2 linked regions of the Daphnia pulex genome follow. The protein of the gene in region 1 interacts with the protein of each later gene in a pairwise test. Links are inferred from orthologs where the notes say so. Each region holds a gene or a part of one and is shown on either strand. Other genes may lie near its edges.

Region 1 (4,919 bases):
TTTTCAAACCCCCCTTTTATTTTTTAAAAATAATAATTTTCTTTTTTTTTTTACTCAAATATTTGATAAGTGATTCACAATTTATTAGATGTAATCATTCATTTCGGTCGATGAAGATTTTTCGGGATTTTTTATTGGCTTTTGTTGAATTGATTCGGCGTGAAACGACCCCCGTTCGTTTTTAGCCGCTGCGGTTAATGACCCGTTTCCTTATTTTTAATGTATTTTGGTCTTTTGTAAAAGAGTGTTTTCTTCTTCTTTATTTGGCACGAAAAAAATGTTGAATGCAAAAGGAAAGAAGAAAGAAAACCTGTTTTATGATGAAGTTCGTTGTCCAAAGTGACTCACTTCATGGGTGTGTGTGTGTCAATAATTTTTCGGGGCTCTCAATAAATTGGCGTTCAAAACGAGCCGTTTCTTCTGAAAATATCAACTAGCCCCGAGCTAAAGTGAGCGGTCGTGATTTGCGCAACAACAAAGTGAAAGGAAAATGTATTGACAATTAATGCGCGCGAAATTTGAATTTAGTTTTTTTTTTCAAAATTCCCGTTTTCCCCACACAACGTCTATATACACAGTTAACGTCCAGTCTATTGTGTGTGCAGCAGCCAATGTATGCGCACACACACCTATTTAGAGAGATCAACAGCCCCAGCAGGTGATGTGTGATTCCCATCACTAACAAAAAATGCCACGTCAGAGATGGACCGACGGACCGACGGACAGCATTCCTGAACGTTACGGTGCGCTTTGCTGCCGGCGGCTTCTTTAGACACATCCCACTGGCACTTTGTTTTTTTTTTAAATGCATTTCACGGAATGTTATTTTTCGAACATTTTGAAATAATTTTTTTTTTCCTCCTATTTTAATTCATTTAAAAAAAAAACTTAAAATTTACCCCATTTAATTTTGATTCTTATTAAAAAAGGAAAACAAACCTTTCGGTCGTGATCATCCGCTATACCTCAGTCGAGTCCCGGGGCTCTCGTCTCACCCTTTCGTTACAAGTTTCGCTGCTTATTTTCTTCATTTAGCTGGAAGCTAAAAAGAAAAGAAACGAATGTGCCAGTATATCTTTCTCTCGGCTCCGTGTGTTTGAAGATGAACGAGCGCGGAGTAACTCTCCAGCGCGTGCGCCATCAGTCCACACCGCCCAGAGGCTTTTGACAAAATAAACCGTGAAGACATCTGGAAGATTGTGTGTGTGTATATACGGGGGGGAGAAGAAAAAAAAAATTATTAAGAGCCTACAGCCATTTTAATTTAATCCAATTTTTATTGCGTCAATTTACGGACGTAAAAAAGAAAAAAAAGGTAATTATTTATTTAAGGCTTTCCCAAAAGAGGCTGGAAAACACTTCGTGGTATTAAAATAACTTTCATTATTACGACAGTGAATGCTGTCATTGCATAATTTATGCAAATGTGATGAACGGCTGTAATGCTGATTGAAATAGACCCTCAATAATCATTTCCCCCCCAGAAATTAGAATATTCAAATTTCGCGGGTCAACGAAAAATGAACGATTATCCGTGAAACAAAAATAATTATTATTCATCAGAAAATCGCAATTCAAAGTTTAGTAGCCTATTTATTAATTTTCCGTAGAGTATAAAAATCAAAGGGCAACTTTATTGATCCACCACGTCATTTGAGTTCCTAGAAATGGCGGGTGGGAACATCATCAACTTTGCAATTTCCCAAAAAAAGAAGAAGTGGGAGGGGGATATCTACTAAAAATAAAAATAATAAAAAAAAGGAAAATAAATTTAACCGGTTGTAGTTGCAGAGAGAGAGATAGGTATATATCCAACATCACTGGAAGCTGTGCCGGAGGCTTTTTCTCCATCTCTCTCTCTCGTCCGATATATTCCAACCTATACCCTTTGCTCTACGGAGGCACTTGAGGCACTTTTTTCCAGCTAAAAAAGAAAAAAGAAAAAAGAGGTGGACCCCATCATGCAGCAGCAGCATCTGTCCAGTGCTCCAGGCATCTCCTATAGGATCCGCCAGCTAGGCACCGCAGCTTTTCAAAGACGTTCAGTCTCCGTCGAGCGTCCGTCCGTGAAACGTGCGTGTCGTTTTGACACTTGCGTCAGCTCATTTTCAACATTTTCGAAATTGTTTTTAACCGCAGAATAAAGAAACGGATTTTCCCTCAATAATGGACTGCTGCTGCCGGTGTTGATTACTGGATGATTATTGAAATTTTCCAGATAGTATAATTAGGTAAGTTTGATTTTTCAATTATTATTTCTCTCGGAATAATCGTTCAAGCGGATCCGCTGTTTTTAAATGTTTTCGATTCTTCCTGCGGCTGTACAGTTTTTTTTTCTTGATTTCACGTTGTGTATTTCTTCTTTTATTAGTTGGGAGAAAAAGAAAAGAAGAAAAAATCACAAAATTATCAAAGGTATTTGCCTGCAAGGGTCAGCCCAGCAAAGGCCACGGGGCATCGACAAATTTTTGTTTTTTCTTGTCCCTTCTCTTTTTTTATTTTATTTTTCTGCTTTGGGGATATCACCTGATTTTTGCTCACCCCACCTGGGCAGAAAATGTTATTTTTTTTTAACGGATCGGAGATTTATTTTTATTACGGCGAAAACACACGCACGTCATATCATTGGCGTGTTGAAATGTCTTTTGTTTATTTTTCTTGGCGCACCTTTTAGGAAAAACTGTTAAAATCTCCTGATGACGTCATAACAATTCTAGATTGGGGTCAAATGAAATGTGCGATTTTCTTTTTGATTGTTACATCCGCGTGACATTCGATATCCGCGCACCTGTTGTCTTATTCTATTCAACAGTTTGCACAAACTAATTTTTAAAAAGTAAACGGGGTTGATTAGATCATCATGACCACTCGATTATTAAGATCCCGTTTTTATTTAAATTCTAGATGGGTCGTTATTTTATGATTATTGTTATGGGTGTTGTGACCTCGGTAATCGAAAAGATCAGTAGACACAAAAACATCCAATCGTTCCATTTTTGGAAAACAAATGAGTGCGGCCCTTTTTTTCCCGTTTTTTTTTTAAATTCCCGCAGGTCGTCCGTGTCCAAGAGGCAGAACCTGAAACCATTTGCTCGCCCTCCGCTATGGGTGGATCTAAAGGATATGGTTAAAAGTTAAGATATTTCGAAAAAAGAAAAAGAATATGTAGGTAGAGAGAGATTGGTGCCGGGCTTGGCCGCGAGGCAAGTTGGAAACTGGCCATTTCTGTGTGGGTACACACACACATACTCAATCCGAAAGAAAATCAAATAATAAAAAAATGAAAAAAGGATTTTTTACTTTTTTGCTTTGCTTGAACGGTCGTCAGGGGAGGAAATGAGAAATCAAAATGTTATTACTTGTTCTCAAATTGATATCAGTCTCTCTGTCTAACGGGGTTGGCCTTAGGGTATTAACTATCCTTTTAAAATGTTTGGTTATGTGATGATACCCCGTCATCCGCTACAATAATAATCCATATTCCGAAAATTGATTTTCCTTGTTTTTTTCTTTCTTTCGTAGAAATTTCAAATAAATTTTCAAATAAAAAAAGGGACGGACGTAGTGGATCAAAAAGTCCGGGCAACAACATGCAGGTGGAGAGAATGATCGGCAAAGCGCATTCCAGGTAACAACATTTTTTGGAAAGATTATTTTTCGGATGAAAAATAATAGAAAAGCATCCGGTTATTCCGGTAATCCGCTTACCTGTATAAATAAATCAGAAAATTTAATCAAAATTTGCTTGACATTTTAAAAGTTCACGGTTCAATTGAAATGAAATTTTTTTCAAATTAAATTTAATTCATTTAAATTTGAGCGGGATTTTCAAATTAAATTTAATTCATTTAAATTTGAGCGGGATTTTCAAATTAAATTAAATTCATTTAAATTTGAGTGGGATTTTTAAAATTTTTCTTGGATGATAGATAAACTAATTAGAGTTGATGTTAATTTTAACTTTGTGATAGGCTATTATCTCCGAGTTTATCTCCGGCGACGTCACCGACGTTGAGCGCCGTGTCGTCACCGGCTCCCCAAACTCCGACGCCCACGACGACGCCGATGCTCCAGGTGATCTCTTCCAATTCGGCTTCTTACACGCCCAAATTGGCCGGCATCCCCAGCGTAGCGGCGGCGTCTCGTTACACGGCGCCCGTTCACATTGACGTCGGCGGGACCATCTACACGTCGTCGCTGGAAACGCTCACGACGAGATTCGGCGAGTCGCGACTGGCCAAAATGTTCAACGGCGGCATCCCCATCGTCCTGGACAGTTTGAAGCAGCACTACTTTATCGATAGGGACGGCCAGATGTTCCGGCACGTCCTCAATTTCGTCCGCAACGGAAGACTACTCCTCCCGGACGATTTTGCCGATGTGGAACTTTTACTGGAAGAGGCCAAATATTACGACATCATCCGTAATGATTATTCTTTCATTTATTTTAATTTAAATTGTTAATTTTTCATAAATTTTTCTTTAAATAATAGCCATGGTGAAAGCGTTGGAAATGTTGCGGATGGAAAGACGGACGCGGAATGGACAGTACGGTAAAAAAATAAAATAAAATTACTGTTTTAATTTAAGTTAATTTTGTTTCTAAATTTTTTGAAATTTGAAAATGATTTTCCAGGTGATAAATTGTACAACAGCCACCAGCACAACGGTCATCCGGCAATGCCGAGTTCCAGTCCGGTTTCGGGGTCCCGTTGTTCGCCCGTTTCTGGCGGGATGAGCGTGACTGGTGGCGTCCGGTTACGTTCGGCTGTTTCATCCAGCAACCGGATGGATCACCAGCAAAATTCACCCGGCGGAGGCAGTAGCAACGAAGGCGGTGGCGGAGCTCCAGGTGTGGCCGGTTTGACGTGCCGGAAGGATTTGATAGCCGAAGATTCCGGTTCGCCCGGAGATGATTG
Region 2 (3,002 bases), on another chromosome or scaffold:
TCCGCAGACGGGAGAGGACTTTTCCGACCTCCACCGTGATGACAGAGAAAGCGTTGTGTGAAATTGCGCCTCCTTATTCTTGCATCCTCCACAGTCTTTTTACATGATGACAAATTTGCTTTACTTGTTTCGTGATTCGTATATTTCGCCATTTGAAAATGCCATACCCGATCTCCGATTCTTCTCGGTTAAGATTTTTAATCGATTTCAAGTCGGAATGTTTTCTTTGATTTTAGTGTATCTGTAATATTGTCGCTGCTGAAAATATTGTGATAAATCGGTTGTTGTTTTACATACCTTGTTTTGCACTTTGTACATCGATAACCCATTTAGTTCAAATTTTAATCAGGTAAGAGAGCCTTTGATGAATTCTAGTAGTTAAAAGAAGTTTGGTCTTCATAATCAGATATTCGCCAGATAAAACGCATATCAACAAAGTAGGTCACAACCAAATAAAATAGTCAAGTGACGTAATTGAAAAAAAAAAAGGTCAACAAGTGTTACACCTTACTTAGCGTTTTATTTCAGATCGGAGTATGTTTTCTGGACGATAAGTAAGTATTGAAATGAAGACAATAAGAATTTTTAAAAAACAAATAGAGCACGTGGAAAAGAAAAAGAAGTTAACTTATTCCTTGACAGCTGGATTTACTTGGGAAATTAAGACAGCAAATCAGTGGTGGCAGCCATAGCCTTGGCTTGTGCTCTAACACGTTTTTCGTACTCCATTCGATTTTGACTGGAGAAATAATCAAATGAAATATTACAATCCAAACTTTCAAGTTGTCTACTGGTGTAAAAATCATTACCAGTAGATAGTATAAGCTTCTGCCTGAGCCGGATCCTTAATATTGGGGTCATTTAGGAGATCTTGAATTCCAAGCAAAATCTGTTTGATGGTAATTGCAGGTCTCCAGTCCTTTTCTTCATCCAACAATGATAGACAAACTGTGCCTGGATATTAAATGCCAAAAGGTTAGCTAAAACAAAACACTCAAATAGCCATTTGATTCAACCTGATGGATAGACGTTTGGATGGAAAAGTGGGGGCTCAAATTTGCATTTTGGAGGAGAAGAGGGGTAGTCATCTTTAAAAATCATACGGATTTTGTACAATCCATTTTCCCAGGGAGTCTGTAAATGTATGCACAAGTTACACTTAATATTGTTACTTCAAACAACAGTGAATTTGGTAAGTATATCTGACACCAATGTGAAGTAAGATCTTTAAGTGTAAAACTCATTACCGATTTCTTGCCTGGAATAGCACATTCCCAGTTCATCAAATTGAGGGTTCCATCAGGATTCTTTGTGGGCCTGGCAACAAAACCCTAAAGGCAACGCAAAGATACACAAATCAAACACACACAACCCAACAACTATCGTTTGGCAAACCAGCAACTTACAAAGGGATGGTCTTTCCTCCAGCCTTTACGTTCCTCAGAAAGTCGAGCAATAGCAATACCGGACATTATTGGTCACTAGAGAATAAAAATTTCAGTGTGATGTAATAAGAAAGTGTGAATATGACTGAAGAAAGCAAGATGCAACAGCTCTTAAATAAATAATAGTTACCTTTTTTCAACGGCTGCCAAATAATTTAGCTGTGTAGTTTCGTACAATTATTGCCAGGGTTGCCTTAAGGTAATTCGAATAATTACAAATCAATTTAAAATTTAATTTGGGGATTTAAACGAATAAATGATGAAACATTTGCATGTAAAATATGGATTTCAATGAAATCAAACCATTTTGGCTGTAGCATGCATAAGCATTTTTAGTTTTAGTTTTCATCAACTAAAATTAAAAATGAACTGGCTATGCTGCCACTGCCTATGAAAGATGGCGCCCAGATGGTTCAAAAAACAACAGAGCAGTGAGTCACACAGGCATGCATCTTAAGTTCTTGTATTTTGTTTAAATTCCAAATTGAAAAATCAAGTGTTAAAAAAAATCATTGATATCTTCCATCTCATGTAGCTTTGATCGTTCAACATTCGAGACAAGCCAAGCGTCGTTTACGTAATGCTTCCAGAATATTCGAACACGTGAATCAACTAGTGACAAACCACAAAGGTATCACACGAAGACAAAACGAAAAAAGGTGCAAACAACCATGTCTCGAATGAATTAAGAATGATATAATCTCTAATCCTAAAGCCTCAGTTCAGTTTAACTTTGTGGATGGGGAAACTACAAAATTGATATAGAATGTTCAGAAAGGTATGAAAACATCAGTTAATTTGTCATATTAGGTCACAAACTCTAAATTTATTAAATGAAGATCTGTTATTCCCTATTATGGTTGTTTCAGCTAGGTACTTCTCGCATAGAAGGGTTGAATGTGTTAGTGCCAAAGTGGAAGGGAATGAAACATACTTGGGTATCTCAAAGCGGAAAATATCCTGTTAAATACTCATTAGATATGATGTATTGGTGATTTCACAAAACAATAGTGCTTGAATCACTATTTTGTATAGTTCAAAGATTATTACATGTGCCAGTTTTTAAACTAATTTCTTGCTTGGAAACGTAGTGTGCTATGTAATATTGTTGTGAGTCTGTCTTTATTTTTACCATTGCACTGAATAACAAATGACTCCTGAAGGGCTCAGGAAGATGCTTCTGAGAAAGTTAACTGTCAAGTAATAGAATAATGTCCATATCTAAAAAAATCTTTTGAATATAACTCCTCGTCAGTATTGGCTGTTACAGAGAAATGTCAATCATATTATAGAGCATAATTGTAAATGTTTTATTTCAGATTACTAACTATAATTTTATTATTAGGCGTAACCAATGAGTACTGGGGAATCGCGTCTTGAAAGCTTCGTGTTCCCTTCACATATTCGCACGTTTGAATGCAAATATATGGCGTTGCATGAAAGGAGATTACTGTCACCAAAGTGAGCAGGTATGTGGAAAGTAAATTTCTTTATGATAATGATATTTTATCAATAAATTAAAGATCAAAATGTTGATTTAAAATGAGCTGATAATAA

The links. The genes of interacting proteins can lie anywhere in the genome.
Region 2: the proteins of BTB/POZ domain-containing protein kctd15-like (region 1) and SUMO-conjugating enzyme UBC9-B interact in a two-hybrid assay, tested with the Drosophila melanogaster proteins (2 studies listed by BioGRID). The link is inferred for Daphnia pulex from reciprocal best matches to the Drosophila melanogaster genes twz and lwr.

Annotation. Positions count from the first base shown.
Region 1 is NC_060026.1:14,341,993-14,346,911, reverse strand, and holds the start of BTB/POZ domain-containing protein kctd15-like, read left to right. Parts: upstream 1-1,793; 5' UTR 1,794-2,231; intron 2,232-3,522; 5' UTR 3,523-3,590; coding exon 3,591-3,628; intron 3,629-3,971; coding exon 3,972-4,423; intron 4,424-4,493; coding exon 4,494-4,553; intron 4,554-4,636; coding exon 4,637-4,919. UniProt on the Drosophila melanogaster protein: Functions with the transcription factor TfAP-2 to regulate octopamine neuronal signaling pathways that control behaviors such as male aggression, male mating, and the initiation of feeding.
Region 2 is NC_060018.1:632,621-635,622, reverse strand, and holds SUMO-conjugating enzyme UBC9-B, read right to left. Parts: upstream 1,729-3,002; 5' UTR 1,576-1,728; exon of another isoform or gene 1,482-1,575; 5' UTR 1,473-1,481; coding exon 1,407-1,472; intron 1,332-1,406; coding exon 1,248-1,331; intron 1,135-1,247; coding exon 1,017-1,134; intron 955-1,016; coding exon 810-954; intron 740-809; coding exon 661-739; 3' UTR 501-660; downstream 1-500. Other genes in the region: receptor-type guanylate cyclase Gyc76C-like, read left to right, coding at 1-61.